5 linked regions of the Danio rerio genome follow. The protein of the gene in region 4 purifies or fractionates together with the protein of the main gene of each other region. This does not show direct contact. Links are inferred from orthologs where the notes say so. Each region holds a gene or a part of one and is shown on either strand. Other genes may lie near its edges. The genes, in order: stk35l, kpna1, kpna2, ctdspl2b and pdik1l.

Region 1 (6,963 bases), on a different chromosome or scaffold from region 4:
AATGAAATGACACAGGAAAAAAATATTGAACACAAGAAAAAATGGATGTGTAGAAAGACAGAGAAAGCCCAGACTGTAGCTGAAATCTCCCAGTAGTTATTCACCAACCCTCTGCCCTTCCTCATTGCAAATTATTGCTTTAGTCCAACATCAACATTATCAGGATGATGAAGATGAAACCAAGGTGGTCATTTCAGCAAGACAATCATCCAAATCACAACCAACCAAGGAAACTCTGAAATGATTTCAGAGAAAAAATATCAAGCTGTAGAATGGCCCAGCCAATCACCTGACTTGAATCCAATAGAAAATGCAAAATAAAGATAGACGAGATCCACAGAACCATCAAGATTTTTACACTGATGAAGTCGGTGTAAAAACTCACATCTGAACAATGCACGTGACCTCTATGAGGCATCTTTAAGCTGCATCATCAAAAAAGACTTTAATATAAGTAAATGCTGAGTAGTTCAGTACTTTCTTCTTGTGTGATTGCATTATTATTTCAGATAACTTTTTTTGTAATATCTTTATCTTTGTAATGTTTGGGTTTTTACCTAAATTTGGTTCAATTCCATGTCAACTGAAGAAAAAAAAAAAAAAAAAACTACTAACCACCCTTTCTGATTTAATGTAATAACATGAACATTTCATAAAGCTGCTTAAAATGATAATTATTGTAAAAGCATTATACAAATAACCTTGAATTGAAATAAAAAATACACAATATTATACATGTATGATATAAAAAATTATGAAAGATACAATTGACTTTAATTATAGGCTACATATTTTCATGCCAACCGTCATGGTAATGCCACCAAAAGATGATTTCTTTATACTTCAAAACAAGAATCTATTGATATATAATATTATATGATATAAAATGTATATGAATATGTCTTAAAACATGGCGCTTTTTATTATTTTAAAACTAATAAATGCCTTAAATGCTGGTTTTATTTCAATTTTGGAAGGCAGAATAAACAAAGATATGTTTTACTATAAATCATAAATAAGAAAAACTTGACAATTCTAAAATAGCCGCCTTTTTTCCAAAGCTGTAAAAGAAGAGTTCACATACAAAAACCTCTGAGTGCTGTCTTAAGTTTTCCTCTAAAATTAGCGTTTTCCTATGTTTATGTTTAGTTATTTCACTTTAAAAACAATAAAAGAAACCTATTCTTTGCTATAACAGTGAAATTACTGAACCTACATACAGGAGACTGTGAAAAAATGGTCGCTTTAGAAGAAAGTTCTGATTCACTTCAAATATATTTGATGGCAGGTGATGGGTGTTTCAGAAGCCCAGATGCTCCTCATCGTGTCCGGCCACGTGTGTGTGTGCGCGCGCGCTGAGCTGTAGAAGCACATGCTCGCTCATGCTGGAGGGACTGAACCATTCTGGACCACACCACGGGTGACAACGGTCTTCGTGTTTACGTGTATTTACGGGTTTTATGCATTGACAACCTGAAGTGAACATAAAAGGAAAGCGAGTATTAATCTACAATTAGAAATCAATGTACTGATGTACCACAGCATGTAGCCCATGCTGAGTATTGCTAGAAGGGCCAAACAGATGACGTAATTCTTTTTTTAAATTTTTATAAATACACACTTAATTTGTTTTTGATTTATTTAAATGCTATTTTTATGTAATACCTTTTTTATTTTAATATTAACAAAACATTATTTGCATAAGTAGCACAACAGTGAGATGCAAAAATATCAAGAAAATAGCAATGATGGTGATAGTAAATAATAAAGAAATATATTAATACATGTATTAAAAAAAACAATAAACAATCATAAAGTACACATAACATAGTTGTAGTGGGAAAATAATACCCTCATTAAATAAAACATTTTCTTACAGAACGTCAAAAGACAAACTTATCAGAACGTTGTCTTATTACCGACAATAAACCATTTATGACTAAATTTACACTTACACTCCTTCAGATGTGATACACATTTCACCTTGTCCAAGGTAAATAAAAAGAAAAATAGACTTCAGTTAAATATTTCCAATCCAAAATCTAAATAAATCCATTTAATTATTTAAAAAACACTTCTGCACGTGAATATTATTGCTTTTTAGAATTTGCTTGCTTCTGTTGCTCTCATTTGTATGTCACTTTGAATAGTGTCTGCTAAATGCAAAAGTGACAACTGTTTCAGTGTCATGTTACAAAACAACACTCGTAACGTTAAACACATTTTCAAAAAAAGCCTAGATGAAATTAACATGAACAAATTGTATGTATTTAAAAACACACGGTGTCTTATATTTCCTTCAGCACCAATTTAACAACACAACTCAAGCCACAAGAGGCGTTTACTTGAAACGTGTGTCTCGTGTGTCCTCGCGGGTCATCGACCCCCCCCACCGAACAGGGAAGTGGGACGATCCAGACAAGTTCTCTCAGTTCATTCAAGATTCATTCCGTTCGGACCAGATGCAGGACGGTCGCTGAATCGCCGTATGAAAACAAACCAGATGTCAGCTAATATTTAAGCGCTGCTGAACTTCCTCGAGCCCTGGAGCTATGAACGCGGAAGATATTTGCCAACGCACGCACACAACGTGAGGAGGCGCGATGAACGCAAAGGACCGAGAGCGGCGCCGGACGCGCAAAGCTGGCAAACGAGCCGAAAGCGCGAGTGTCCTGCGCTCGCTCAGCGTCGACAACATTGACGAGGAGAATGAAACAATGGCAGGCGAGCTGGACATGGGCAAACATGGCAGCCTGGAGAGGCGGATCATTGCTCCGCGGTACAGCTTGCTCCGTGAAGTTGGCAGGGGCAGCTATGGCGTTGTGTACGAAGCCATTGCCCGTAAATCAGGTGCGAAAGTGGCAGTGAAAAAGCTGCGCTGTGACGCGCCCGAGAATGTGGAGCTGGCGCTGGCCGAGTTCTGGGCTCTGACCAGCCTGGAGAAGCGCCACGAGAACGTGGTGCAGCTGGAGGAGTGTGTGCTCCAAAAAAACGGGATGGCCCAGAAAATGAGCCATGGCAATAAGCGTTCAAAGCAGTATTTGAGGCTGGTGGAGACCTCGCTGAAAGGTGAGGGGTGTTAGTTCATTCAAGCAATGCTATTTTGCAATTGTTCTAGAAGGTCAACAGTGTATGTGGGTTTTGTCATGCTCAAACAGTGTTTTTTGTCAGTGACAGCTCTCTCGCTTGGTCGAAATGACACATTGGGCATTTAAAATTGACATAACGTCGATGTATAGTGATTTAGCATTGTTATATGAGGTAAAACGAGCAAGGATCCATTGTTTGGCAGTGACTCACTTATGACACCGGACGCTTGTATCGCGCATGTCTATGTTCTACATTTAAGATTTCTTACATAAAAAGTAAACAAGGCGAAAGTCGGTCAGATTTGCCCTCCTCCCACAGCCTTTTCTCGGTTATGAAACTGAGGTTGGGAGTGGGGGAGGTGCTGGTCTTGGGGTCAAATCATGTCGACTTGTTAAAACAATGAAGGAACTTACATGACAACTGTTCACGTATTTTACACCCAAAAAGAAGACGGTGGGGATTTTCATACAGGCCAATCCGGCCTCGTTAATCCTAATGTGCTGGGATTGCCTCTTTGTTTGACTGCTTTCATATGTATGCCTGAGTCATCAACGTGATGTAGCTTTGTGTACTGAATGATATGCAAAGTGATGCTAGACGATCAACAGCTCTCAAGCAAATACAAGTCTATATTTAGTTTATGTGGATCTGAAAGTAGAAAAAGGATGGTTTATTGTTGTGTGGGTATTACACCGTGAATAGTCTTCATGTTCATATATACAGGCATGTTTATAAGAATTATCTAAATTTCTATATTAAATATATATTTTGAGAAATATACATTAATGTTTCCTTTAACTTTACGGTTATGTTAGCAAAACAACAATGTACTAAGATGGATGACGATATTGTCACAGCAATCCCTGGCCACAGATCCACAAACAAATAACAAAAATTAGCTGCTTTTTATTTGTAAGGCCACCCTATGTTCATATCAACACTAAAAATTTAGAAACACTACACATTCTGCACACATACTGTGCCGTGGCCTGCTATTTGTTGTTCAAGTTGTCATGAACTTGCACATACCTTTTGACTGAACTTGTAATACATATCATAAGTACATGACCTCACCATCATCACAAAATCACGTTTTTGTAGTTTGAATAGAGACAATAATTGCTTTGTTTTTAAGAAATTACACTTTAAAATGTGTCTTTAAAAATGTACGCTTTAGGCATTCAAAATATTTTTTGTTGTGTAAATGAAAATCCCCCCCCCCTCCCTTTATATGAAAACGGTGGCGGAAAAAGGCCTTAGTTGAAGTGAAATTGGAAGAAATTTAGCGCAAAGTTACAATGCATCTTGAGGACGATTTCATCAACAGAACAAATCAATAATCATGCATATTTCATGAACTAGTTTTACGCTGTGCTTATGGAGCCAAATCAGTCTCAAAAATAATACATTTACAAAGTTTTCATGCATCCACAACAAAATCCAATTTGTAAGTTTAAAATACGATTCAAAAATACACAAATCCAATTCGTAAATTCAAAATGCGATGAATAAATAGACAAATCCTACTCGAGAATTCAAACCACGATTCAAAAATACACAAATCCAATTCATAAATTTCAAAACGCGGTTCATAAATACACTAATCCAACTTGAGAATTAAAAATGTAATTCATAAATACACAAATCAAGTTCAATTGGCAAAAATATTTATGATTTTCTGGCTCCATGTGCTCTTGACATAGTAAAGCGAGGTAATTCGCAGACAAGCAGCCATTTTATTTTGGTGACAATATTAAAAATCTGAATTTCATATTGTTTCAGAATAATTTTGTGCTTTAACAAAAAGAGATGTGATGGTTTGATTGTGTTTTTGTTCTTGAGTATTTTTTCAATGTAAATGACAACATCAAATTACGTCATTAGAAAGTTTTGAAGTTTTACAATAAGACCTTCTTTAGATTTTGGTAATACCTGTGAGTCTCACAATATGGTTTTTATTTACAGCAGCATGTGCAGATTCAGGTAATGCTTGCTCAACAGAACCAGGAAAGGGATAAAAATAAAACCCCTGAAAGCACAGTGCAGTGTTTATTAATTACACTAAGGCATTTTGGCTTTTATCAGGGGATACAAGTCAGTATTTGCTGTTCATATGGGAGCTAGTTTGGTCCTCTGGGAAGAAACCGTAAACAGCCTCAAACTGGTTCCACACAGCAATCCAGCCTTTGAAAGTGATGACAAAGCAGGTCGTCTTTTAAATCTATTGCATTTGTTTCTGCTTCTGTTTGGTGCTTATACCCTCTCACTTTAATATATTGTTTTGACACTTAAATATGTGCAGTGTGTGATTTTTGAGTTCCTAGTTGGTAAAAGCAAGTTGGTTTACTTTACGGCCAAATTTGTAACGCCCCTTGCTGCTATTTTCAGGCATGCATGAGCAACTCTTTCTGCTTGAATATGGAAAGACCAAAACCAAGTAACAGTTTGTTGGAGTGGCATTTTATTAATGTTTTTTAAATATGCAATGGCAATACATTTTGATTACATTGGCATTATCAATTTTTATATTGGGTATGCACCTTTCAGAGTAAAAAAATAGTGGATGAACTCCTTTAACTGCAGGCACTGGTGCATTTAACTGTAGATTTTGACTACAGGTGCATTAAAATAAGATGCAGTTACTTTCATTAAATTTCAGTCATTTCCTTTGATCTCTTTATTTGTTTCAGCCAGGCTTGTGGATATTTAGGGAAATGACATTCTTATTGTAGAGAGCATTTTGTTTCACCAATATGTTCAACACTGAGTATGTTTACATGGACACCAATAAACTGATTTTAATACGATTAAGACATAGAGCATCATAATCGATCTAAACAGAAATTGAATTAAGATGTGGAGTACACCGATTTTAGTTGCATTATTAAAGTTCAGTACAAACATGTAAACACCGCTATTAAACTATTACCATTCTGTTGGATTTTCACTGCATTTTGCTACAGGATAGCATATACACACAGCTTTTTGACACTATTCTCTGCACCTACCGAGTCGGGGAAGGATCACAGACACCTGCATCGTGAAATGCGGAGGTTTTTTCCCATACGGTGTACAATATCAAATTCCACTAAAACAACTCTGTTCTAGCAGTCTATACTCTCTTCCAATATCTTGTTTGTCATAGGGGGCATGCTTGAAATGTTTCTGAATGAAAAAGGAATTGTTAAACTGCAGTTAAAGTCAACAAATGAAAAATATTAAACACCCGAAATCACACAAGAATCCAGAGGAAAGTGAGTAATTTGGTGACGCAATGATGTTAATCGAATTATGTGTTATAACGGAAGTGGAGACATGTACAAATGTAAAAACTTCAAAAGCCCTAATACTGAAGTGTATTTATCTCTGAATTTGTTTTTTATTTCCAGGTGAGCGTGTGCTGTCGTGTCCTGATGAGCCCTGCTACCTGTGGTTTGTCATGGAGTTTTGTGAAGGAGGAGATCTGAATCAGTTCATCCTGTCCCGCCAGCCTGATCCCCACACCAACGCCAGCTTCATGATGCAATTGAGCAGCGCTGTGGCGTTCCTTCACCAAAACAACATTGTTCATAGAGACCTCAAACCAGATAACATCCTTATCTCGGAAAGTTCTGGAGCGCCTGTGTTGAAGGTGGCAGATTTCGGACTGAGCAAAGTGTGTGCTGGTCTGAGTGCCGGAGTACGGGATGCAGAAGAGGGACTTGACAAAAACAGGAACGGTGTTGTTAACATCAATAAGTTCTGGCTCTCGTCGGCATGCGGATCAGACTTTTACATGGCACCAGAGGTTTGGGAAGGACATTACACAGCCAAAGCGGACATTTTTGCTCTGGGTATTATCATCTGGGCCATGATCGAGAGAATCACTTTCAT
Region 2 (7,088 bases), on a different chromosome or scaffold from region 4:
ATGAAATATAGCAGGGCATTTTCAAAAATAGTAGGCCCCTTCATAATGAACATATAAACACGGAGATTCTAAATAGATCAAATAAATTCTACATAAATTTAAAGATATGAAACCTCCCCTTCTCATCAGCAATGAGTTTTTGACTTTTTTTACATGCTCTTGGAATGAAAACGATTCAGTTCACAAAACAAAAGTCAGAACAGTTCCAAAAGAGTTTTTATTTTCTTTCTTAGGCTGCTGTCTTTTTAATACCTTACATAAATAATGTGTCTTTCTCTCTTGATGCAACATACTGTTTTAATATTTCCAAAGAAAAGAAATATATAAAATCTCTTGGGATTTTAATATTCCTTAAATATCCATCACCTGTAGTGTGCAGTTCTCTCTTCTTTTCAGGAACTCAACAAATCGCTCCACGACACCAGGGGTGGCAATAACCTCATCAATAGGGGGATTAGGCTCTAATGGAGGGTTACAAAGACAGAATTAGCATAATTTAGCACTAATTTGATTATGTAAATGCTTGATTTTTAGTCTTTGGGGTATTTCACCTTTAGATAAGAGCTTTCTGAAGCGCTGTGTTCCTATGAGCTGTTGTTCTGGAGAGCTGGAGAAGATCATCTGTATCATGTCTTCAGAAATAACACTTCCCTTTAACGATGGAAAAACAAAAAAAGGCAATTAATTTTTCATCAGTAAGTAAAAAGCTAAGACTAGCCTTCATTTTTGCTGTACTACCGTGATTTGGTCCATATTGTTGGCCTGTGATTCCAGGTATCCGCTGTCAGACATCCCATCATCTTCCAGTGCTCCATCCTCCTCCACTGTGGCCACATTTCTGCGCTTGAACAGCTATAAGAACGTTCAAATTTGTCAAAGTTGAAACTTTATCCCCAAAGCTTCTCTTAAGAGTGCACTTTACTTGCAATTTTATTTAAATATATTTTATTTTTCAATATATATTTTATTTTTTTATTTACAATCAAGCACTCATGCATCTTCACGACTCTTCAAAATGAAAGCTTCAATTGATGAAATTGAAACAGAAATATTGTTGTCCAGTAGAATGTACTTTTCTAATAATAATAATAATAATAATAATAAAATATTTAAAAACATTAAATATGACAAAAATATGATACAATATGATTTTATGCTAGCCCAGTAATAGTTAATAGTGAATATAATACTTTACACTATATACAATACACTTTTATAAATTTTAATCAAACAAATTCAGATTGGTGAGAAACTTTTTTTCAAAAAGACAAAAATTTCTTTTCATTATATTGTCTCAAAGTTCATTCCATCCTTCCTATAAATTTAAGGCTAGTTTAATAATATCTTTATTAGTAAAACCACAAGAGTCAAATAAAACAGAAAAACAAGTCACTCTTATCTCCACTTGACTTACTTGTTCATCTTTCTTTTGTTTTCGAAGTTGCAGGCCTTCTTCCTCCCTCCTCCTCCTCATCTCATCTGTGTTGAGCGATTTGTTTTTATAGCTTTTGAGACGTGCATTGTCCTTCCCTTGACTCATGATGTTGTCTGCTGTAAAGAGACGATCAAAGCAAGATGAGCACAATAGAAAAATCATCAAGACTTATTAAAATACTTGCTTGATCTCTGCTAGATCACAGACCTCTTGAAAAGATCATTTAATGTCACTTGTTTCCATAGGCAGTGGAGACACACATACACACAAATTTTTACATCCTGCATTAGTGACAAAACTAATCTGACAGCAACCTTACTGAAAGGTCCTGTTATGACATTTTAATATACCTTGTTAAATAACATTGAGAAAAGTAAACATTTTAAGAGAAACCTATCCAGAGATTAACTATTCACAATTAGGAACATAAGATGCATTTAGAAAATAAATACATTGAATTTTCTTTTAATTTCATTTCAAGTTTTTAGCTTTTTCTTCACATTACTTTTATATTATTCACAATTAAATATATATATATATATATATATATATATATATATATATATATATATATATATATATATATATATATATATGCACAATATTGGAAAAATCTAACAATGCAATATTTTTTTGATTTTGCCATATAAATGAAATTTTCCCAGATGACTTAATATCTTTATTTTTGTCAAGAATTTATAATGTTAGATCGATTGGGATGATTCTGTAGTGGGAGAGCATATAAACAGTTTCTGTATAAACAATTTCTGTATTTGCATGTGCTGTGTTGTGAGTATTAATGATGAATTAATTTTTACTATTTGCATCCCTATAAAATCAAATAAACAATCTTTACATTTTTAGGGTACCTACCCAGACACATTTTTGTTGTGGTCTGTGCTATTTGCAGTGCATTTCTGTATATGCACTTGTGAGTATTTTTATTCATAACAATCTATTAATACAATCAACAAACTTCAATAAAAATAATCGTAGTTAAGGTCACAAATTGTGCAATTTCTTATAGCTGAATGCTTTTGAAGACATTATACAATCACAGGCATAAACAAAACATGTGCAAATGATACATTTTAATACAAACTACAACAACATTGCATATCCTGCGATATGACTATTGCGAATGATCACATTGCAATATTGATCGAAACGATATATTGTGCAGCCCTAATACTAACATTATTCTATTTTAAATTATTACAATTGTCTTGCTGATAAATCTGTAAAAAAGAAAGAAAAAAGTTTGAAATGTAAATGAATTATTATTTTTTGCTTCACTGTAATCCTTAAATTGGGTTTTATTATGTCATTGAAAGATGCCCACAAAACCTTTTATTTCTAAATTTTATGCTAATATGGTGAAATCTGACAAACATACTTTATCAACAGAGTGATAAAATAAGACATTCAAAATCCCTTTTGCATATGCCAATAATATGAAACAAAAATTAACCAGTGCTCAAAATTGTATGTTTAAATTTAAGTACATCAGCCCATTTTGAGTTCGACAGGACCTTGCTTTAATATGAAACCTGAACATTTCAGACACCTAATGGATCATAAAACAATTAACAATATTGAGGAAGTATGGTGATATGTATTAATTATTATTCACTGGTTTAGCTATTTCTACCCTGTTCAACAGTGGTGCTTTGGCCCAATATCTTCAAACTATTTATGTTTCTTATTTATTAGTAGTAGTTGTGGCAATGTTTTCTATTTTAGGACTGCACTGTTATCCTTACATACAGTCTTCTAATACATCGTCAAAAGACTACTGCTTTAAATGTGTCTGACATGATTTCTGGCATGTAAACAGTTTGGTGTCTTCTTTAAATCATGGTAAAAATGTTTGTTAAGACTTTTTTTTTCTAAACTATATATATTTTTTCTATTTATAAATTTAGTCTATGATTTTATTTTGTTTGTTTATCAGACGGTTTTCAACATGTCAGGCAAATTTCTAAATGCTTTGACACTATTTTTGATAAAAATATTTCATAAAAGATAAGGATTAAACGCAAAGCTTGAGCTAAACAACCACCACGGACGATAACATTTATTATTTATTTATCTCTAGCCAGTGTACCTGTGACATTTAGTCTCAAACTACTAAAAACAATATAAAACAGAGGCTGCATGGATCTGTCAGTGTGTTTTGGGCAGTGGTGCTAGAGCCCGCAGTGAAGAGGATCGACCCATCAAACCATCCACACCTAAAAACAGCCGCCAAACGCACCAATCTCACCGATCATCGCATCACAGAAGCGGAAACGATCGATTCAAGTTAACAAAATGTCATTTTTGCTCCACACGAGCTAGTGATCATCGACTGAAGAGCAGGTTTGTTAGTAATATCGTCTTAACAGCGGACTCGCCTCCCCCTCCCAGATCTGCGCAGCAGCCTCTGTTAGCTTATCTGCTAACCCAGCCAACAAGGTTGTCCGACTAACGCCTTTTATCTGTGTTTTAACATTATAATCTTTTGAATTTGACATCATGTAGACGGAATAAAACCAGACAGACACAAGTTATCCACACTGGCGTACTGACCTGTCAAAACGGCCTCGTTTATCCCTGCGTCGTTTAAGCTGCAACCGTTCAGCCTCCGCCGGTATAGTGACACTGCACATGCGCATTGTGAGAGGACATCGTGTGCGAAGCGCATGTCTGCTTCTCGGTGTTGCCAGTTCTGTGTAACGAACAGTGTTGCCATCTCCGCGCTTTATAAGTAAACATTATAAGCTTATATACATATATTTAAAAACAAATACATAGCTTATAATAAATTATCTATGTAGATACCTTTTATATCACATAACTCATTTTGTAGCATTCATACAAATCATAAAGCATATGCCAAAATAATTGGCAGTTCATTTCGCTGTGGTGACTCCTGATAAATCTATTATTATTATTATTTTTATGATTATTAATAATAATAATAATTGCTTTCGCCTCACAGCAAGAAGGTTGCTGGGTCGCTGGTTCAAGCCTCAGCTTGGTCAGTTGGTGTTTCTGTGTGGAGTTTGCATGTTCTCCCTGCGTTTGCGTGGGTTTCCTCTAGGTGCTCCAGTTTCCTCCACAGTCCAAAGACATGCGGTACAGGTGAATTTGGTAGGTTAAGTTGTCCGCAGTGTATGAGTGTGTGTGTGTGTGAATGAGTGTGAGTATGTTTTTTTTTAAGCCAGAAAGAAAATGAATGGATAAATGAATGAAAATAATAATAATATTTTATTATTATTATTAAGTACATTTATTTATTCATATGAACGTCATTTTTATCTATTTATTTTGTATAGGCCAATCATATATAATTTAAATTGAATATCTACATCTCATCTTACTTATTTGTTTACTCAGTTGTTTTACACAGTGGATGGCTGTATGCCTTTCCAGCTGCAACTTAGCACTGAAAGTACAACACTCAATGCTGGGAAACAACCACAGACTCTCCCATTCACACACATTTAGCCAATTTAGTTGATTCAGTTTGCCTATAACTTCACCTACATCTTTGGACTGTGGGGGAAACCGGAGCACCTGGGGAAAACTCGAGCAAACACAGAAATAGCCACACAGAAATAGCAACTCAAACAAGCAACCTTCTTGTGGTGAGGCAACCATGCTAGCCTCAGCCAATGTGCCATGGCTGAATGAATTGTTATCATATACACATTCATTCGTTTTCTTTTCAGCTTAGTCTCTTTCTTAATCAGGGTCACCACAGCAGAATAAACTGCCAACTTACGCAGCAATATGCCAACACAGAAATGCCAACTGACCTCGAACCTTCTTGCTGTGAGGTGACATCGCTACCCACTGCGCCTCCATCATATACACATATGTATTTTTATTATTTGTATAAAGAAATATATGTGAACAGTAATTTATAAATACAGTAAATCCTTTTGTTCATGTATTATCATCATATCACTTTTCCTTTATTCTTACATAATCACTCCTTTTGTAAAATTATTTAACAATGTTGGTTTATTACTCTCTTTTTGTTTTTATTGAGTCACTTTGAATGTTGTTTTTGTATTTTTGTATAAGTGTTTTTGTAGGCATGTTTTTCCATCAAAATCTGGCAACATTTAATCTTTTCATCCGCACCATATGATGCTTTCAGTGTTTTTCTCCTTTTAAGTCTTACATAAAAAAGGTAATATACGAAGATAATATTATTTAAAAAAACTCATTTTACAAATGTGAAAATCTGAAACTGTCCCCACCTTTGAAATGTGGGCTAGAAAGCTTGGAAATATGTTACACTTAGGAGAACAGAGATTCACACTAAATGACAGATTGTCCAGTTGTAACAAGATTTGGGAACCATTCATAATATTTTTTTAGATAGACTGAACTGATATAGACTTTTACAAGACTGTTGTATGGTAATTTATTTGTTTATTTAATTTCATTATTTACTTTATAATTATCTTATAATTATTTTAGAATTTATCTTTTGGTAATCGCCTCACAGCAAAAAGGTCGCTGGTTCCAGCCCCAGCTAGGCCAGTTGGCTTTTCTGTGTGGAGTTTGCATGTTCTCCCCGTGTTCGCGCGGGTTTCCTCCTGGTGCTCCGCTGCCTAAAACATGTGCTGGAAAAGTTGGCGGTTCATTCTGTTGTGGGGACCCCTGATTAATATAGGGACTAAGCCAAAAAGAAAATGAATGAATGTATCTTTTGGTCTAATTGTCTATGTACACCTATTGCTTCAATTGTATTTATTTTTTTGTCCTAGCCAGTTCCATAATATGATTGTAAATGTTATTCATGCATGACTTTTATTTTATTTTTTGCTAACTTTCTACAAACATTTTGATCAATGTTAGATGGGTGGGATGTAGGGTTTTGAGTTCCTTTTTGTTGTGAGCCAAATTCACTGTGAAAGTCTTTCCAAGAGATTTTTGATATGGATCATCTCTTTCTTGTACGGATATAGGCGGTACTGTGTGTATGTATTTTTTTTTTCAATGAAAATAAAGAGTTTAAAATATATACAGTTGAAGTCAGAATTATATATATATATATATATATATATATATATATATATATATATATATAGTTTATGTATACACACACACACACACACACACACACACACACACACACACACACACACACACACACTGTAAAACCCAATAAGTTAAGGGAACTCAAACAATTTGAAGAAACCGATTGCAACAAACCATTTCATTTAAAAAACTGATCTATATGAATACTATGAACTTACTCCATTTAAGTTAAAGTAATGAGGTATTTAATGAACTCATTCAACACTCGTTGACAGTTGGGATTTACAGTGTATATTCAAATATTAAATATCACACCTGCTGTCAGACAAACCACACATAAACGTCTGTATGAGTTTCATCAGGGAAAAAAGTATAGAGTATTTATTAAAAGTTATATGTCTACCTTACATCTAAAATATAAAAGCATACCATAATAATTTACCACAAAGTTATAAACTATCAATTTTTACACCAGAAAAATTTAGAAAAAATATAGGACTATCAATCAGTAGGCTAATGACAGGGATTTGTACAAACAGATAATGTCACCACTGCTACTATCATCCTCTTACATCCTTTTACTTTGTAGATTGTTGACAGTCCTAAAAAATTA
Region 3 (5,091 bases), on a different chromosome or scaffold from region 4:
TGCATCTGGAACATCTGACCAGACCAGCGCCGTGGTCCAGGGAGGGGCAATCCCAGCATTCATCAGCCTCATCTCGTCACCACATGCTCATATTAGCGAGCAGGCAGTTTGGGCTCTTGGAAACATCGCTGGTGGGTGCTAAGTAGAATATTTCAGTTAGATCCCTTAATTTTCTTTTTAATGTGGGTGTACAAATTGATTTGTTCTTTTTGTGTTTGTGTGTGTGTAGGTGATGGTTCTGGGTATAGGGATAGAGTCATTAAGCATGGTGCAATCCCCCCCCTCTTGGCTCTGCTGGCTGTTCCTGATTTGTCTGTGTTTCCTGTAAGTTATTTATATAGATGGATTTAAATTGGTTTTAAAGTTATTCTCAGATGGGTGTCCATTGTAATTTGGTAAAAATAATTTTGAGAAATGTATTTATTGCAATATTACAATCTAAGTTGGTTAAAATATTGTTGTTGTTGTTATTATTATTATTATTATTATTATTATTATTATTATACCAAATAATGTGAAGCTGATTTAGACCAATTTACAGATTGAATATCGCAAAAATTTGTCTTTTTATGACTTTTTAAGAAGTTTTAAAAATAACTATTCCTCAGATAATTAAGTATCAAAAACATTTGATAATTAGTGAGGACAACATTTGTAATTAAATAGTGAAAGGCAAATTCCGAATGTTTCAGAATTTGCGCATGAAAATGTAAGAAAACCCCAGACAAATTCATTATATTTTCATGCACAAATTCTGAAACATTTGGAATTTGCCTTTCACTATTTAATTACAATTCTTGTCCTCCGTAATTATCAAATGTTTTTGACCTGATTCTCAAGCAAATAATAAAAATTATCGGTTTAATTAGTTTTGTTCTTGTTTATTTACACTCTAAGCTTAATAGATATTATTATTATTATATTAAATTTATTATAAAGGTATACACTTAAGATTTACTTTAAACCTTGGGCTCTTTTCACAATCCATGCGCAGGGTGCAAACGCATTAGGGCATGTCAGAATCCACTTTTTCTTAAATAATGAGGGAAAAAATCCGCTTTGCGCCATGGCGCATGGTCTGAAAGGGTTCAGCTTATTTTATTAATGAGTTATAGATGTGTTTTGAGAATAAACCAATCAGAGTCTCATCTCTCATTCCCTTTAACAGTGCGTTGCATCGCACCATAGCGCATTTGCTATTTACATGACGTAAGTGGAAAAACTGAGCGTTTCACTAGCAAGAAAACAGTTAAACAGAGCATCTACAGCGCGAGAATGAGAAATGAGCCTCCTTATTAACTTTCACGTTTGTGGATAGGGAAACGTGTCATACGCACCGACATCAATTAGCCTATAAGTAATTAATTTAGTTTAAGCGCAAAGATTAGTTTTAAAACTATTTCTAAAATCTGTTCTAATTTCCAGCAAACAAATAAATGAACAATAATAACGAAGTGTGTTCAAAAACCTGAGTTATATCCTAATACACATGCTACTCCCATATGGTCTGAAACCTGACAGGTGGGCAAATCTAAGCTCGTTTTTAATTAAGCAAATATAAATATGCATATAATACTGCTAAAAATAATACATTATACATTAGCAAATTGTCATGAATGAACTGAAAAAGCCTCCCGGGATGAAGGCATGAAAGTATAGTTTTTATATTAATTTAGGCTTGAAAATAATCTTTTGTAATATTTTTAATCCTTAATATGTATTATATTTTAATTTTTCATATGTAAAGATTTTTGCGTATTGCTCTACATTTTGTGTGTATTAAGCAGTGTGTAAGCGAGGCGCACAACTAACGTGCTCTGCTGGACAATAGACCGGCTTTGTTCAGGTCTATAGAACCGACTATTATAGTTTCTCAAAATAGCAATGCACCTCAACACGCCATCTTTTTTTAGATCAGAACGCCTATGGGCGCACATATGATTGTAAAATAAAATAATTGTGTTTTTTTTTTTTTTTTTTTTTTTACAAATTTGATGACTACAAATTGCTAATTGCAACTTGTAACATTCTCCCTATAAATTTACATTTAGAAAACCTATTAATGTATTACATTTTTTTTTAATCCGTCTATAAGCTTCTACTGGTCCAGAACTCAGCTGCCCACATCATCACTAAACTCTTTTTCACCATATTACCCCCATTTTACAAAATCTGCACTGGCTTCCAATCCAACCTAGAGTCGATTATAAAATCGTCCTGCATACTTTTTAAGGCTATCCATAACCTCACACCAGCTTATTTGTCTGATCTCTTCCATATCATCACTCATTTCTGCTCCCTTAGATCCTTCTCCTCCATACACTCTGTTCCCTCTGCCAAAGCTATTTGGCTATTTGTATTTTATAATCTTCTCTTTTTTTTTTTTTTTTTTTTTTTTAAATATACTGTGGGTTTATTTTTAAATTATTGAATTGTGTATATTTGTTGTACAGTGATCATGGGTTCTTGAAAGGTGTATTGCATAAAACGTATTTAAAATTATTAGCTAAAAAAAATTAAAATAAAGGTTTTTACATGTATTATCTCTAAACCTCAAACAATGTTGTTTTTGGTGTTCAGGACTATTTGTTTTAAACTGTAGTGAGCATGCATTACCGCTAGATGGCGTGAAAGCTGTGTAGAATTACCCTGACCAGCCAGTTTTTCTTCTACAGGCTGGTTACCTGAGGAACGTCACATGGACCTTGTCAAACCTGTGCCGCAATAAGAACCCTGCACCACCTCTGGAGGCTGTGAAACAGATACTACCCACACTCATCTGCCTTCTGCAGCACAGTGACAAAGAAGTGCTTGCGGACACCTGCTGGGCCATCTCTTACCTGACCGACGGGCCCAATGATCGCATTGAGGTTGTGGTGAACGCCGGTGTGGTTCCTCGACTGGTGCAGCTACTGGCATCTGGGGAGCTGTCCATTGTGGTAAGTTGGTGGAAAGTAGTGAACTCTTGAGTTATACGTTTAAAATGGTAAATTTAATAATAACTTTTTTATTTTTTCCTGCCACAGACCCCCTCACTACGTTCTATTGGTAACATTGTCACTGGCACAGATGAACAAACGCAGGCTGTGCTGGAGGCTGGTGCTCTTCCCATGTTCCCAGCTCTGTTGCGCCACCAAAAGAGCAACATTCAGAAGGAGGCGTCCTGGACTCTCTCCAACATCACGGCTGGCAGAGACTATCAGATTCAGGAGGTCATCAATGCTGGCATTGTGCCGTACCTGGTGGAAGTTCTCAGACGAGTATGTCACCACATGAACACAATACAATACTTGTTCATGAAGTTAATTTATTTTCAACTTAATTTTTTCTCTCTCTTGCCTCATGCAGGGTGATTACAAGACCCAGAAGGAGGCTGTTTGGGCAGTGACCAATTATACCAGCGGGGGCACAGTAGAGCAAGTGGTTTACCTAGTTCAAGCCAACGTATTGGAGCCCTTGTTGAACCTGCTCTCCACTAAGGACAGCAAAACTATTCTGGTCATCTTAGATGCCATCACAAATATCTTTTTGGTATGAGTCAATTTTAAGTTGAGGGTAAATGAGTTTTATTGATCTTATTGAAACCAAGTATAGATGATTTTCATCTCGACTGCTACATCTCAAAATAAGGAGTGAATCAGATTTTATTAAATTTTTCTCTAAGAAGTTTGTCACATGTTGCCACTTGTGTGTTCAGTAGCTCTTCTGTCATGTGTGCATTTACAGACCAATTTATTTGCCCTCCTGTGAATTTTATTTATTTTTTAAAATATTTTCTAAGTGATGTTTAACAGACAAGGGCATATTTTTTATTTTTTAAATGCATCCTACTGAGGAAAAAATATAAAGGGAAGTCTTGTTTCTTTTAGTTTGACTGGAATAACAAAAAATACAATTAAACTGTTAACTGGTGAGGTTGATGTAATTGGCCCGACTACTCTAAATCTCTGGATGCTAATCTTGCAAAATGACTAGTGATAATGATGTTTTGTTCTGATATTTAGTTACAATATTATTTGGTATAATCCCCTCTGACCCACACACAGTTATGACTCACTTTGGCTTCGTTATTTCAGATTGACTGAAAGAACTGATTAATCCAATTTTCTAGTCGCATAAATTAAGGAAACATCACAAACTTTCTGTCTGTGCATTTAAAGTTTTACTTAGTAAATGCATTTACTTTGTAGTCTGAGCACATTATTTTTATTCCAATAGTCCATTAATGCAAATAGGTAGATCTGGAACATGACATTATTTTGTTGTTCCTCTGTTAATATAACTTTGTTTTGTTTTTAGGCTGGAGAGAAGATTGGTGAGGTTGAAAAGCTGTGTTTGATGATTGAGGAGTGTGGTGGCCTGGACAAAATCGAAGCTTTGCAGTCTCATGAAAATGAAATGGTTTACAAGGCCTCCCTCAACTTAATTGAAAAATATTTCTCTGGAGAGGTGGGTTGATCAAATTTTGAATCTCTAGTTGCGCATTATGCATTCTTTTTTTGTGTGTGTAGAGTTTTATCAGTCTGCATATTAAAACTCTGAATTATTATACATTCCACAGACGGGATGGGGGGGGGGGGGGGGGGGTAATCTCAACTTTGAAGTTTAGTTTTATCTTTTGCTTTTAATTCTTTCAAGAACTGCTTTTCCTAAATCCCTGATTTCTGTCTTGCAGGAGGAAGAGGATGAATGTGTCGCACCTGAAGCTACAGATGATGGTTATGCATTCCAGATCAACGAAAACCAAAGCACTTTCAACTTCTAAATGTCTGACCTGTGAAATACTTTTGTATGATTGTTCCGATCATTTCTGCACGCCACTTATCTTGTTCATGTTTGTCTCTGTTTGGACCTCGTGCTCCAAGTTGTACATATGAATCTGTCAGTTTTAATTGTTGCAAATAAACCAACCGAAAAAGAACCAAAGTTGTTTTCTTCTATATTCAAGACATGGACTAAATAAAATATGAATAAACAATAAAGAGGAAAGACTGATGTTAACCGCCAAGTGAAATAAGTGTATATCCTACAGCACTATGAATATCAAGTAGGTCTGATGTCACAGTCTGGGCGGTTTAAGCGGCTCCACAG
Region 4 (6,942 bases):
TAAAGCGATTCAAAGCATCGCACATTTCAGAAGCGTTTTGAGACCTGGCGAATCTGCGTTTGACTGACAGAGTCAGAAAAAGTTTCTGTCTCAAATAGTCTAGTGGACCGTGCATGTGCACGATGTTAGAGTGCTTCAAATGGCTTTTAGGTTCGAATCCCGACTTGTACAAATACTCCGAAATCATGATTTTCTGTATTTTAATAATGTTACTGTTTTATGGTGTAGTTTTAATCACTGTAAAACAATAATTAATATTTTTACTGTACTGTGATGGTTGGGTTTAGGGTTTGTGTAGACGTTAATAAAATACAATTAATGGGAAATTTAATAAATAGTATAAATAATTCTTGTTAACTTCCGGCTACAACCGTGTCTGATTTAGCAACAATCCTGTTTTATGACCAAAACAAGACATATTTGTTCACAAAGTTTTCATTCAGATGTCAGACCAATGTCGAAACAAAATGATGCAAGAACAAAGCACTATTTTCTAAACAAATGTGCATGTCTGTGTTTATCATTCCATCGAATTAAACACAAATAAGACACATACAGTATACTCCGTGTATTTGAAGAAGCAGTCAATGCTTGAAATTAGGCTATGGGTCACCTTTAAACTTAAATAGGCTTTTAATAACGGATATAAATGAAAGATAAATAACAAAAGCAAAAGAGAATCTTGCAGGAGTGCTGTCTCAAATGATCAATGATTGTGTAATACCGCAACACCTTTTATTTCAAAACATTTGAGCTGGTTTCAGCGCTTAGTTCTTTAATTTTCTTTTTCATTTGTTTCATTTTTAAAAATTAACAAAAAATAAAAAAGGTAATGTAATTGTAAAAATAATGAAATATTAAGTTGGTAATATAATTCAATAATAATTTCAACTCATTAGACATGGGAGAAAAAGTAAAACACCATGTGAAAAATAAAAATATGGATTTACAGATGTTTCAGTAAAATACATATATATTTTTTTTATTCTGTAAACTATGCCATTTATTTCAATTTAAAGATAAAAATGCCATTTAAAGATGATTGTTCTTGCATAAAATAATAAGAATTTTATGTCTCGCACATGTTTAATTTCATTTAGACAACACGATGCCAATGTTTTAACCAGAAGAGCTAAACAAATCTGGATTAACTCAGATTTTTGATCACAGCAGTTTGTTATACATCATTTGCTAAGGTGAGCAATTATTAATAATAATAATGATGTCACGCAAATGACAAAGATTATTTTTAAAAATGTTAATGAACAGGGTAATACAATTTTTTTTATTTACTCAAATGAATCCAAAGGCAGTAAATCCAGAGAAACAAAGTTGTCACCTGGTCTCTTTATTTTAAATAGCTGTACATATATAACAACATCATATATGGCGTTAAAATGTACGTATTGTATCAATATGCTAACAACGTTTATGAAACGGAATGCTAACATTTTATGTAAATGTTATAAAAATACACCAGGAAAAAAAACATTTAAGCAAAATAAAAATATAACATCATAAAAGAGTGATAGTTTAATGATTAACTACTAAAGAGACCGTGAATATAGTGAAAGTCCCTGGCTTATAGATTGTATCATTTAGAGGCCACTAGTTAATTTCCCTTCTTATAAAGTATTGTATTAATGAATGCCTCCTTTTGGAATGTCCTCATAGCACGTGATGGAATCTGAAATGTAATGGTACTGAAATTCATTTAATTCAGGAATCTACACAGCCATAGTTCTTCGTAGCGGTACTATTGCCATGACAACCAAAACGTGCCTCCCTTCTCGAGTCATCATACCGCAGGCAGGCGCTCGCTCTATTTCAGTCAACTGACGGTGATGAGCTCTGCATAAATAAATCTGATATTCATGCTGGCACGCAGTTAATACTTTAGTCTGTTACTTTTGTTTTATTATTACCAACATCAAACAAATTAATCTACACTTCCCGGTTAAAAATACATCTTTGTTACCTCAGTTTCCATGCTAAATAGCCGACAGTAACTTCAGAAATGCTCTGCGCTGTGTGTTTGTTTTGGTTGTGCGTGATTCTCGCTATTGTGTTGTGAATTTTAAACAGACACTGTACGCTGAACATGTCGCACTGCGAAGCCTCGATATTGTTTTGATACTCGGAACAAGAGAAAGGGGGTGTGGGACGCGCGCCGCAGGACGCATGCTCGGCTCGCTCCTCTCTTCATCCGGGTACCTGCCGTTGACTGTGTGGGTACGGAGGCGGGAAATGGCGTCCAGAGGTGCGGGGAGGACAGAGGTGAACCTCAACTGAAGAGGCACGCAAACAACCGCAAGTGACAACAGCCCGAAAATCGACTTTTATCCCGCAACTCGATCCCCAGGAGCTTTGTGCAGTAAGTTATATTACCACTATTATGTTTTGCATGTGGTGATTGGGTTCCCCCATAATATCTCGTCCGTTCGCTCCGGTTGGAAATGTTTCGCTGTGGTTCGCCTCGCCACTGTATTCGCCCGGACAGGCAGCTGCCGTGGTTCCCGCGCTTTCTCTGTCATCATTAGAACGCTGCCGGTTGTTTTGAGTGGCGCGAGAAGCTGCTTCAAGTAATAGCGGGTCACGAGAGGCAGGTCTCCTACGGAGAGAAAGCCTGCATGTGTCCTACATTGAAGACAGACATGCACAGATGTGTCAGGACCGTTTACTGTATGTAAAAATACATCTCACGTTTTCGGCTCGTGGGCAGTGATTGTGTAAATCATTATTATTAACGTCTGACCTAAACGGGCAAATCGAGGGAAAGTTGCTCGTCTTCCGTACATAATGTGTTTGGCGTGTGTTTCCCGCCCACCGCGACACTGTGTTCAGTTTTCACAGCGACTGAACTTCATTTCTGAAGTGTCTGATGAGGTTGTTTGGTTATCTTGGTGCTGCGCTTATTGTCTTTTGTTTTCCACCTTTTGGAGTTATTGACTAGTTATTTGACTGTAGGACAGTGGTTCACAAGCATTGTCACTCCAAAGGTCCCCATTGTCAAGTCAGTATTGAAGGCCCCCGCACAGAGCCAGATTTTACAACTATATATATTTATTTTTAGAAACTGTTAATAGATAATGAAAATAGAGTAATAATCTCAAGATTTGTGTATGTTTTAAACATAGGAAGCTGGATTTAAACTACTAGGCTGTAGTATAAAAATTCAGATTTTATAACCAATATTTGATTAACTTTCTGCTCATCTATCTTATGATTTTGTAAAAGACAAAATGGTAAGTTCAACCACTTTTGGACAGCTGACCACAGTTTTCAAGTGGAGTATTGAAAAAAGCACTGTTCAAATACAATTGTCTATATGAAGGTTCAGCAATGTGCTGAAAAAAAATCAGAAAATTCCTGAACTGCAAACTACACAGCTTTAAAAAATGGGTTTTGATTAAATAATGTTAAATTGGAGTGGTTGTTTTTTTGGTCAATAATAATATCTTGTTATTATTTACATAATAATAAAATATTTTTGGTACCAAAATGTGAATGTACTAAAACAAATTAAACAACTTAAATGAATTAATGCAAGCTAAAAAAAGTCTGATAATGTAAAAATGTCGGCTAATTTTAATTTTAATGATAAATAATGATATGTAAATATTATCAAAACAACTCTAATACAGTAAAAAATCACCTTCAAAAATGCTTGTAATGTAACAGACATTTTGTTGGTTTATTGAGGCCCTGGTTTGTTTGGGTTTCCAAAGTTTTTTTAGAGAACATCTAAGTTTAAAGAAAGAAGTTGTCTGAATTTGTTTGGTGGCTTGATGCAGCTCACCTAATCAAACATTTAGGATAGTTCATTTTGTCTTGTAAACACCTTTGACCTCCCATTGGTCCATGACCATTACGCAATCAGTGGGTGTGTTCTAGAACTCTGTCTTCTTTGATCCTCAATTTATTCCCCCTGAATTGTTTCTCATTCTACAGAGGTCAAACAGAACAACAGCCAAAATGTCAACATTAGCTACTTGAATACGTAGGAGTCGAGTAGCAGAGCTGGTACAGATGTATCTACACCTGTAAGATCGCTCGCAGGGGGGATTTTTAAGATTCTGAGCGTGTCATACACCAGATGAGAAGCCCAACTCTATGCACCATGTCTTTTTTTATGTGTTTGCACTAGGCATGGGTCGGTATAAGATTATGACAGTATGGTAACCTAGGATAAAAATACCAAAGTTTCACGGTATTGTGATTACTGCTCTATAATATATTATTTTTAAATGTCTAGGTAAAAAAAACTTTTTTTTGCCGTTGAAAACTGTAAATTCTATTTTTTGAAAGATTTATGATATTTTGGAGCAGTAAACATGTCAGGCTAAATAATTAAAATGAATCATTGAATCATTCATTTGTTTCAAAAACGCTGATTTCTTTACAATTTAAAACGGCATCTTTGGAGATCTTTTTTTTACTGGAGATACAAAAGAAAAAGAGCGTTTTGAAAAACAAAAAATGTAAATAAAAAAATCTTACACATACCTTAGGGAACGGTATTACAGAAAGTTTGGCTGTAAATAAACCTTGACTTTTCCAAACTGCGGTATACCCTGACAGAGATTATTGTCCCATGCCATTCGATGTCTGTCCTTGAAAACTGTAAAGATGCAATAGGCCATGGTGTTTCTTTTCGTTGTAGAGGTGTTTATGAAACTGTTCTTTTCTCTCAGACACCATCATTGTGTTTAGAGTAAACATCCAAGTAGTGCGACACATTTACAACCACACCTACTGCAGTGTAGGGGTCTTGGAGTGTTTGAAAACAGTATACTATTACTCAGCCTTTTCAATCCTCTGTTTGCCATCAAACGAAGAACCAAAAACAATTTGTCTGAAGTAGACCTGAGCCTGACATGGATTCTAACGATATGATAACCTTGGATAAAAATATCACGGTTTCATTGTATTGTGGTTGCTGCTCTAAAATAAGTTCTTTTTAAATGTCTAGGTAAAAAACTAAAACTTTTGAGAAACATTTATAATATTTTGGAGCAGTAAACATGTCAGGCTGAATAATTTAAATCAAATATTGACTTCTGCTGTCATCATTGGTTTCAAATACTAATATCTTTTCTACTGGAGATACTCTTGTCCTTTAAAACAACAACAAAAAAAGTAATTAATAAATCTTTTATATACCATAGGAACGCTATAACAGAAAATTTTGGTGGTTTTAAAACCTTGGCTTTTCCAAACTGCGGTATACCTTGAAAATGGTTATCGTCTCATGCCTAGTCAAAAGCATACTGGGGCCTTTAGAAGTTCACCAGTTATTGCCATCAGACCAGGTTGATTTAAAAATGGCTCTGGATGAGTTGTTTGCCTGACATGCAATGGGACAGATAACTTGTAAAGTGTCTGTGAATATTTTTTAGTGGTGTTTTTTTTTTTGACATACACTGAGTGAACCCCAAATTATTCAGCATTGCATTTTCTGGTTTATAATGTGCTTTGAGTGTATAGTTGTAGATTGCACAGAGATATTAGTCATTTTAATAAATTCCAGCATCAAACTGAGAAGACACAAGTAGCTTCAGGGATCAGTTTTTGGAAAGCTATCAGTGTCCTTGAATTTACTGCTAGTCTGTCAAGGCACATTTTTATTTTACACTTACATTGTTTATTGTATAATATTTTATTTAATAGTTGCCAAAATCAGATATTTTCCTGCTGATGAGACTGTTTATGTCTGCTTGTGTGATTTTTAAACTTGGAGTTTGCCTATTAAGAAGCCTCATTGGATCTCGCTGTGTTGTTTAAGGCTGTTGAATCTCGCTCTGCTTCAGTTCTTGCTGTAGAAAGACTGTAGCTCCTCAGTGTTGTGAGGTAGCTGTCTTGGCATGATGTCTGTTCGAGGCAGTGGATGAGTCACCATTTGTGGTGGTTAAGGAAAAAGCTGAGATGTATTACCAGCTGTAGCCTTTCTCTCTCTACTTTTCACCATTCCTTCTCTTCTCTAACATGCTTCCATGCAGAAAGTCTTGTTATTCTTGCTGCTTCTCTCTAGCTAATAACACACTGCAGCCTTTGCTGGGTGAGATCATTGTTCCTGTCCTAAAATGTAAAACCAAGAAATAGACATTTCTTATCATGGTCGGTGGAATTTTTTATGTGTGTGTGTGTGTGTTTAATGTATCTTGCATGTAATTACGGAGGCATTCCGGAGGGCTTGAAAATGTACAGCATTCTTCGCATTTTGTTAGATCTACAAAAGTTACTGGGAATCTGTTTTGAAAGACTAGAAAATGTGTAAAAAGAAGCTCAGAGTGGATGTGCATGCGAGTTAGATTTCTTTATGGTGAGTTTTGGGAAGAAACGTACAGTCAAGGTTGACTTAATGCCTGTAGGGTCACAAAAGCTGGAGCACATTTGTGGTCGGTGTTACGTAAGCACACTTTCAGGAGGGGTACACATGACAGTGCTGGTAGTTAATTTCAGGATTACTTTTCCCCCCTTGATGTGCAGGGTTGTCTTTAAAAAAGAGAGGGATACTTCCTCCACATGAGGAAAACATTAAGTCATGCTTTTTTTTCTTTCTTTCTCTTTTTTTTTTACCCCTGTCCTTTTTTCTTCTCTGCTCACGGTTGATCTGTAGTACTATCCTCACCTTTTTTTCTTTTTTTGTGACTTTTTGTACAACTGAAAATAAGAGGCAAAAGAGACTGACATTTTGCTGGCTTTTGCCAAAGTTCAAGTAGGTTTTAAACAGATAGAGCAGCTAAAAATATCTGTTTGCCCGTTCATTTCCTTTCCTTTCCAAAATAGGTCCTATGATTTCTGCAATGTTGAAAATTCAGATGAGACAATCATAAAAACAGTCGATCAAATTTGACAGGATGAGTACATTTAAAGGTACTTTTGTGCACCTTATTATATTTCCACCGACTGTTATTTGCAAATATTAAACTTGGAAGAGTG
Region 5 (7,099 bases), on a different chromosome or scaffold from region 4:
TGATGAGATCATGAGAGGACTTGCACTTCATTTGAAAAAGCCTATTCAAGAACTTGCATATTCAGAATTAGCGTACATGACTGCGCTCCGTGTTAAAATAAAGCACTCTCGACATTTGCAGAAATCAATAATTGTGCAATACCTGCATTCCCGCACCGACATTCAAACTGTTTTAAACAAGGCTTCAGAAGAGTGACAGGTCAGAGGAGAGTATACTCACAGTCGGATAGAAGAGAGCCAAACGTAGATCGTCAAAAAGGCAGGAAGTAAATCTTCCTCCCAAAATCTCAGTTTAATTACTTTATAGTAAATACATCTTTATAGTAAAAACACCCGAAAAGCATTATTCCAATAAAACAGTTGCTTTTAAGTTGTTATTTTCTGCCACTGTAACACAGAAAGGCCTTTTTCCCGCCCTTACGTTTCATGCAAAACTAGACAAGGTCGACTGTAATTGATCACTTTTCATGTCAGTCAAATCCCGGTATATTTTATATAAACATTTTAAAAATATATTATATATTTTTGATGAAATAATGACTGTTTTGGTCTAGTTTAGCAGCGAGAATAGATCCTATGTATCCGAACAAAAATCACAGATTTGCACTTTTTTTTTTCAGTTTTTCCTCCCATCCTGTAGCCTACTCGTTCCGCATTACCCCAAGGATTAAACAAGCTTATAAGACATTTAAAAAAGCAAGCGATTGCTCATTGTTTTAAATTTCTGTCCAGAGAGGTTGTGTCCATGTTTTGATCCTCGAGTCGATTGGTCTCACGCAGTCAAGTGATGCGATTTCGCAGCTAAGAGTTCACTAAGCTTGAACTTTGCGACGCAGCAACCTGTGAAACTTAACGCAGGACCCTGCATTTCCGGTCTGACGCATTCGTGTGCGCATGAATGGAACTCTATGGGAGAAAAAGCCCAGTGTGACCGCCGCTTTAATCGTTTGCTTTCCTGGGTCTCTTCATGGTCCTCGGGCGTGGGGAAAACATAGTGGCGTTGTGATTAGGCAGATTGCCTGTAAATCAAACGGCCAACATGAGGTGAAATTCGGCAAGTTTTATGCCTGCATCACACTCCCTCGTCCGAGTACACTGTGTTATTTGGCCTTCTCTTCATGAATTCCATGCAGAAAGTCTGGAACACAGCAATGCCCTTGATTGGTTTTTCAGTACCGCAATGCATTGTGGGAAGCACACTTTGCCCTTTAAAGCGGCTTAAAAATACAAATAAACAATGATGTAAACAAGGAAAATGACAGGACGTTGCTCGAAGAGCTGTGTAGAGTCTATGTTTGCAGTCTAGACGGCAGTTGAAAATGTTGCGCATCGTCGAGAATAAACAGCGCCCCTATCGGCAACATAAAACACAGTCTGCGCCTCTTTGGACCAGCGGAGGCCAAGCTGGAGCTAGTCTGCTTGTTCCCCAGGCTCTGCACAGCTAGGCAAATTACAAATTGAACCAAAACAACCTATATAAATTGACCTAAGATTGGCAAAGTGGACTTTGCATGTTCTCCCCATGTTTGCGTAGGTTTCCCCACAAATCCAAAGACAGGTGTGTGAATATGTTTGTTAGTGATGGGTTGCAGCTGGAAGTGCATCCGCTGTGTAAAACAGTGGCTGGATATTAAGCTGGCGGCTCATTCTGCTGTGGTGACCCCTCATTAATAAACGGACTAAGCCAGAAAGAAAATTGATTAATCTATCCATAAATCCCTGCATAAATAAAACAATAATTAAATACGCAAATGAATTAATAAATAAATAAATGAATAAATCCACAAATCCCGGCATTAATAAATACATAATTAATTAGTTAATAGAGCAGGCTGATAAATGATGAAATCAATTACACCAATGTTCGGGGAATAAGAAAATGCTAAACTGAAAAGATTAGAGTATGGTCTTTATGCCATCATTGGTTAATGGATAAAACAATTTTGCATTGTATTTTTTGGACTGGCATCTGAAGATTGACAGACATCCTCTTTCTGACTTCTTTTCTATATATTGCTATTTGTCCAACATTGTTGTAATTTATTTCATTATGTATTAGTCCACACTATCAGTTGTTTCTATATTTATTTATGCAGGAATTTTAAGGATTCAATAATCCTGTCTTCCAGGCATCGTATTGGCAGTGTTGACTCTATAAAAGCTCAGTGGTTAGCGTGGTCGCTTTTTTAACAAGAAGGACTTCGGTTTAAGATCTGGCGGCTGGAGACCTGCACTGTTGCACCCTGGCTTGACGCATTAAATATGCAAATGAATAAATAAATAAATAAATAAATAAATAAATCCACAAATCACGGCATAAATAAATACATAATTAATTAGTTAATAGTGCAGGCTGATAAATGATGAAACCAATTACCAGATCTCTGGATTACTGCTTTAATTTCACAATTTTCTTTTGCTTTTCATTTTATCTAATTTCTATGTTTGTCTTTTAAAGGTTGGCAGGACTGTTAGTCATTAATGACAGAATTTCAGTTTTGACGGCACTAATCTTTTTTATGAAAACTGAGGGGGCACAAAAAATGGAATATTATACACAAATTGTCTAAAAGGAATATTATACACAAATTATTTTAATACAAATCTTTTTATTCCAAAAACTCAAATGCCATACATGCGTTTTATCACTTGTAAAGCAGTAATATAATTTAATTTAGTATAGCCTTGAGGATATACTGTCATCTTTCTGAGATGACATGACTGAGACAACATTTTATATTTATAATAATTGTTAAAGGCCTAGCAGTATCTTGGCAGTAACTACCGTTACCATGGTAAAATTGCTCTGAGTGTGATGTGAATGACAGAATACGGTTGATGTGTTGTTAGAGAAAGAGAGAGGGCGGTGTTTCTCACTTTAGCTGCACTTCCCAATGTTATAAGACAGTCAAAGTGTGCGCGCTTGAGGAATCTTCGACGCGGACGCGACATACAAAAAATGCAAGTGCGCGCACGGGCACGCGCTCACGAACATACATACACACACAGCTGCGAGAAAAGAGAAAGCGAGAGTCGAGGAGTGTGTGCGGCGGCCTCGCGCTTATAATGGCTGCCAGGAAAAGCACAGCTGAGGAAAATCGGTTACATTGGGAATAGGATTCGTGCACAGGTAAATGTTTCTCGTGTTTGTGTGTGTGGTTGCAGTGGGACTCTTTGTCTGAGCATGTGTGTCGAGCTGCTGCGCAGGTGCATGTGTTGTTCCTGGGAGGCTTGGTAACGAAATCTACCTTTATTGTTAATGTCACAACAACGTATAAGCACTGTGCATATCTCCTGTCGTGTTGCGGGCTATTGCAACGTGTACTGTTAAAGCTGGACAGTGATATACAGCTGGAGAGCGGAAAACAGCGGCGCTGTGGCCGAATCGGACAAAACCAACAGGCCTTTAACACCGCAAAAGCACATGACTGCATTACAAACACAACACGCGATTGTATTCCTGCGATTTCTGCTCATGCGCTTCGTTGTTCCTAATCTAGCAGTTAAAACAGTGAGTGTGCAATGTTTCCTTTGCCCTTTGATCGCTGTTTCCTCATGTCAAGCAGCTTCCGCACACACGTGTTGGCAGCGCAGTCGCGTTTGTTTACCATTTACGCTAACGGCATTTTAAAATGTTTCAAGACCTCCTGTTCGTGAAACCCCTTTTGAAGAATCTTTTACGCTGTGTATTTGTACATGTTTGAAGCTTTTATGTTTCTGAAAACATCTCAGTAGAAATGCTAAATTCAAAATTTGAGTTTGTGGCATTATCTTTACGCTTTTTGTCCAATCAAATGGCTTTTTGAATGTAATGCCCCTCCCCCTAGATACAACTCTTCACTACATAAATGAACTTTTTAAATCATGGTTAAAGAGCGTGATCGTTCAATATGTTCCTCCCTACTTTCTTGTCAACACGGGAAAGAAAATGATACGTTACAGGGAATCTAGAAATCAAATTTATTAGTGTTTATTTTATTTGACAATGAGATGGTCCTTTAAAAAAATTTAACTTCATCATTTGAATTCTGTGTAATGTTGAGACCTAGACTGGATACTGCACGAGTAGTATTAAAAATAATAATATTTTTAGTAATAATAATAATAATAATAATAATAATAATAATAATAATAATTAATTATTATTATTATTAAATCAAGTTTTGTCTCTTATAAATTAAAAATTGACAGTAGTTAATTGTAGCAAGAGTGTGAGTTGAGATCCAGATGTTAATAGGCTATGTGCACAATTAGTGTTTTTCAAACTTGCGGTGAAAGCTTTATGTGATATACTGGGGTAAAATTAATTTACATATTTCAAAGACATGGTGCAGAAAAATATAATTTAATGCAGTGCTTCTTGTTTGGTCTGATAGCCATTTTATATCGTATCTCAACCAGGCAGTAAAGATCACAGTTTTTTTTTTCAAAGAAATCATCAAATACTGCGATTTTTGTATGGGATGACAATTAACCTGAAGCCCTGGGGCTGGCCGACTGAAATGGAAAATCTGTGTGCATATCCGTCATTGTTGAATAAAAAGTAGCAGAAATTTGTTACATTTGGGATGACAAATGAAAATCTAAGGACATTTAGTATTAAAAGTGCACATAACTAATATTTAACAGAAATGCAGTTAATTGTTGTGCTTTTCTAATTTACCTTCTTCAATAAGTTTATAATACGTTAAAGCACAGGTGTCAAACTCAGTTCCAAAAGGAACTGAGTGTAGAGGTGCAGCTCTGTGCCTGTGTGCAGAGGCGCAGCTCTGCACAGTTTAGTTCCAACCCTAATTAAACACACCTGATCAAACTAATCGAGTCCTTCAGGCTTGTTTGAAACCTACAGGTAAGTGTGTTGAAGCAGGGTTGGAACTAAACTGTGCAGGGCTTTGGCCCTCCAGGAATTGAGTTTGACACTTATGCGTTAAAGCAAAGATCTCAAACTCGATTCCTGGACGGCCACATCTCTGAACAGTTTTTTTTTTCCTGCGAGCCTCCAGGAATTGAGTTTGAGACTATTGCACTAAAGTTTTATGACTAGATCCCAGATTTCTGCCAGGGGATCTAGATCAGGGGTGTCCAAAGTGGATCCTGGTGGGCCGGGGTCCTGCAGATTTTAGCTCCAACTTGCCTCAACACAGCTGCTCGGATGTTACTAAAAAACCTAGTAAGAGCTTGATTTGCTGGTCCAGGTGTATCTGATTTGGGTTGGACACCCCTGTTCTAGATAGTATTACTACAGTAAAACTGGTAATATTTGGTGGTTTTGTGGAATGAAAAGCCTTTTAACCTGATCTTTGTTCCACAATGATGCAGCTGGTCTTCTTTTTTGCTGGGAATGACAGTGTTTTCATTTGTTGTTCTTAACTAAGCAGTATTGTGTAAGGATCATATAAATGACTTGTCTAGTGAAATTCATTCTTTTAAACTTGCACAACATTGATGAAGTAGCAATGTATTGTTAAGCTTTTATGTGCTCTAAGTAGTAGGGTTGCACAATATGGGATAATATGCGATGTTGATGACTGATGAGTATTACAATAATATTTTTATTTTTTGCTAAATATTATGTATTTAATGATCATACTAAAATTAACCGATAATAGACATTTTACTAATTTATTTGAGTCAGTTTTAGACAAAAAAAAAAATCAATGCGCAAGCATTTTGACTTTAAAAAAACAATGAACTTTAAAAAAAAAAAAAAAAAAACATGATTTCTTGTTTCAACTGGCCTACAGTTAAGCAGTTGATTTTTAGTGTTTTTAGATCCAGTCTGACAAACTCTGGGTCTGGTGAAGGCATGGACCGGTAAAAGATTGTGACGATATGATAACCATGGATAAAAAATATCATGGTTTCATGGTAATGTAAATACTGCTCTAAAATATATCATGTTTAAATGTTTGGGTAAAAAAACTAAAACTTTTTTTGCCCTTTGAACACAATTTATTTTATTTTGAGAAACATATAAAATATGTTAGAGCAGTTAACATGTCAGGTCTAAATAAATCGACTTCTGCTGTCTTCATTAGTTTCAAAGACACTGATTTATTTTAATTAATTTAAAATGACATCTTTGGAGATCTTTCTGCTGGAGATACTGTCGTCCTAAAAAGTAAATAAAATCTTACTCGTACCCTAGGAATGATATAGCAGAAAAGGCTAGCGTTTTCAAAAAACATGACTTTTCAAAACCGCTGGAGACCTTGCCTGGTTTGATGGGAGCACTTTTAGCTTAGCTTATTGAATCAGAGTAGACTCTCAGCGTTTTGATCAATGAGTTTAGATAACTTTTCTATTTCAATTTTGACACTTCTGAAGTTCCATCATTTATTCAGATCGACGAAAAAAAAGAAAGGTTGCTGTTTTCTAAGCCAATATGGCTAGGAACTTTACTCACATTCTGGTGTAATAATTAAGAAACTTTGCTGCTATATCATGGTTGTAGCAGTACAGAGCGTACACTGGAAGTAATAAATAGATAAGTATAGGTCACCTTTTCCAAATCACTTAGGGAAAGAAAAGTTTTTAAAAAGTAATCGTTGCAATGATTACTGAATTCATTTGTCTAATTTCTATTTTCATCAAATAAAAATCCTAGATTCTTTATTACTAGTTTTAAAGATAGTTTAGATATATAAAAAAAAAATCTTACATATACTTTCTTAAATGTATTTAAATGCCATCTGCATACAACGAAACAAAAAAAGAGGGTGACAGTCTATACATATAAGTCTAGATGGATGGATGGAAAACTGTAACCGCCAACTTTGATAGTAGAAAAAAAAATAAAATACTATGGAAGTCTATGGTCACATGTTTCTTCAAAATTTCTTCAGAACAGAAAAAAAAAATGGTTTTGGAACAAGTGAAGTGTGAGTAAAACATGACTGAACCTAATTTTGCGTCAACTATCCCTTTTTTTAAGGAAGTTATTGGAAACATCTTCTAGTTTGTGTTTGTTATACTAGTTTAGGTCCACTTAAGGCTCCTACACACCGGGACACTTTTCGTTTGCATTAATCGTCATTGCTTTGAGACGTTTTTCCGTATTCAAACCCAAGCGATTTTCACTAGCGTCAAGCAGAAGAGT

What was found.
Region 1: the proteins of ctdspl2b (region 4) and stk35l purify together in Homo sapiens (affinity purification with mass spectrometry; 3 studies listed by BioGRID and IntAct, counting the BioPlex papers as one, with this or other methods). This does not show direct contact. The link is inferred for Danio rerio from reciprocal best matches to the Homo sapiens genes CTDSPL2 and STK35.
Region 2: the proteins of ctdspl2b (region 4) and kpna1 purify together in Homo sapiens (affinity purification with mass spectrometry; 3 studies listed by BioGRID and IntAct, with this or other methods). This does not show direct contact. The link is inferred for Danio rerio from reciprocal best matches to the Homo sapiens genes CTDSPL2 and KPNA1.
Region 3: the proteins of ctdspl2b (region 4) and kpna2 purify together in Homo sapiens (affinity purification with mass spectrometry; 4 studies listed by BioGRID and IntAct, with this or other methods). This does not show direct contact. The link is inferred for Danio rerio from reciprocal best matches to the Homo sapiens genes CTDSPL2 and KPNA2.
Region 5: the proteins of ctdspl2b (region 4) and pdik1l purify together in Homo sapiens (affinity purification with mass spectrometry; 4 studies listed by BioGRID and IntAct, counting the BioPlex papers as one, with this or other methods). This does not show direct contact. The link is inferred for Danio rerio from reciprocal best matches to the Homo sapiens genes CTDSPL2 and PDIK1L.

The regions. Positions count from the first base shown.
Region 1 is NC_133181.1:41,392,498-41,399,460, forward strand, and holds the start of stk35l (serine/threonine kinase 35, like), read left to right. Parts: upstream 1-2,446; 5' UTR 2,447-2,603; coding exon 2,604-3,069; intron 3,070-6,479; coding exon 6,480-6,963.
Region 2 is NC_133199.1:24,832,599-24,839,686, forward strand, and holds the start of kpna1 (importin subunit alpha-5), read right to left. Parts: upstream 4,342-7,088; 5' UTR 4,170-4,341; coding exon 4,007-4,169; intron 1,552-4,006; coding exon 1,415-1,551; intron 853-1,414; coding exon 739-852; intron 652-738; coding exon 552-651; intron 462-551; coding exon 367-461; intron 1-366. UniProt on the Homo sapiens protein: Functions in nuclear protein import as an adapter protein for nuclear receptor KPNB1. Binds specifically and directly to substrates containing either a simple or bipartite NLS motif.
Region 3 is NC_133178.1:24,113,726-24,118,816, reverse strand, and holds the end of kpna2 (importin subunit alpha-1), read left to right. Parts: coding exon 1-131; intron 132-229; coding exon 230-324; intron 325-2,675; coding exon 2,676-2,939; intron 2,940-3,026; coding exon 3,027-3,260; intron 3,261-3,348; coding exon 3,349-3,531; intron 3,532-4,299; coding exon 4,300-4,449; intron 4,450-4,675; coding exon 4,676-4,765; 3' UTR 4,766-4,918; downstream 4,919-5,091.
Region 4 is NC_133182.1:31,420,758-31,427,699, forward strand, and holds the start of ctdspl2b (CTD small phosphatase-like protein 2-B), read left to right. Parts: upstream 1-2,241; 5' UTR 2,242-2,374; exon of another isoform or gene 2,375-2,409; intron 2,410-6,942. UniProt on the Homo sapiens protein: Probable phosphatase.
Region 5 is NC_133194.1:16,640,514-16,647,612, forward strand, and holds the start of pdik1l (serine/threonine-protein kinase pdik1l), read left to right. Parts: upstream 1-2,954; 5' UTR 2,955-3,130; intron 3,131-7,099.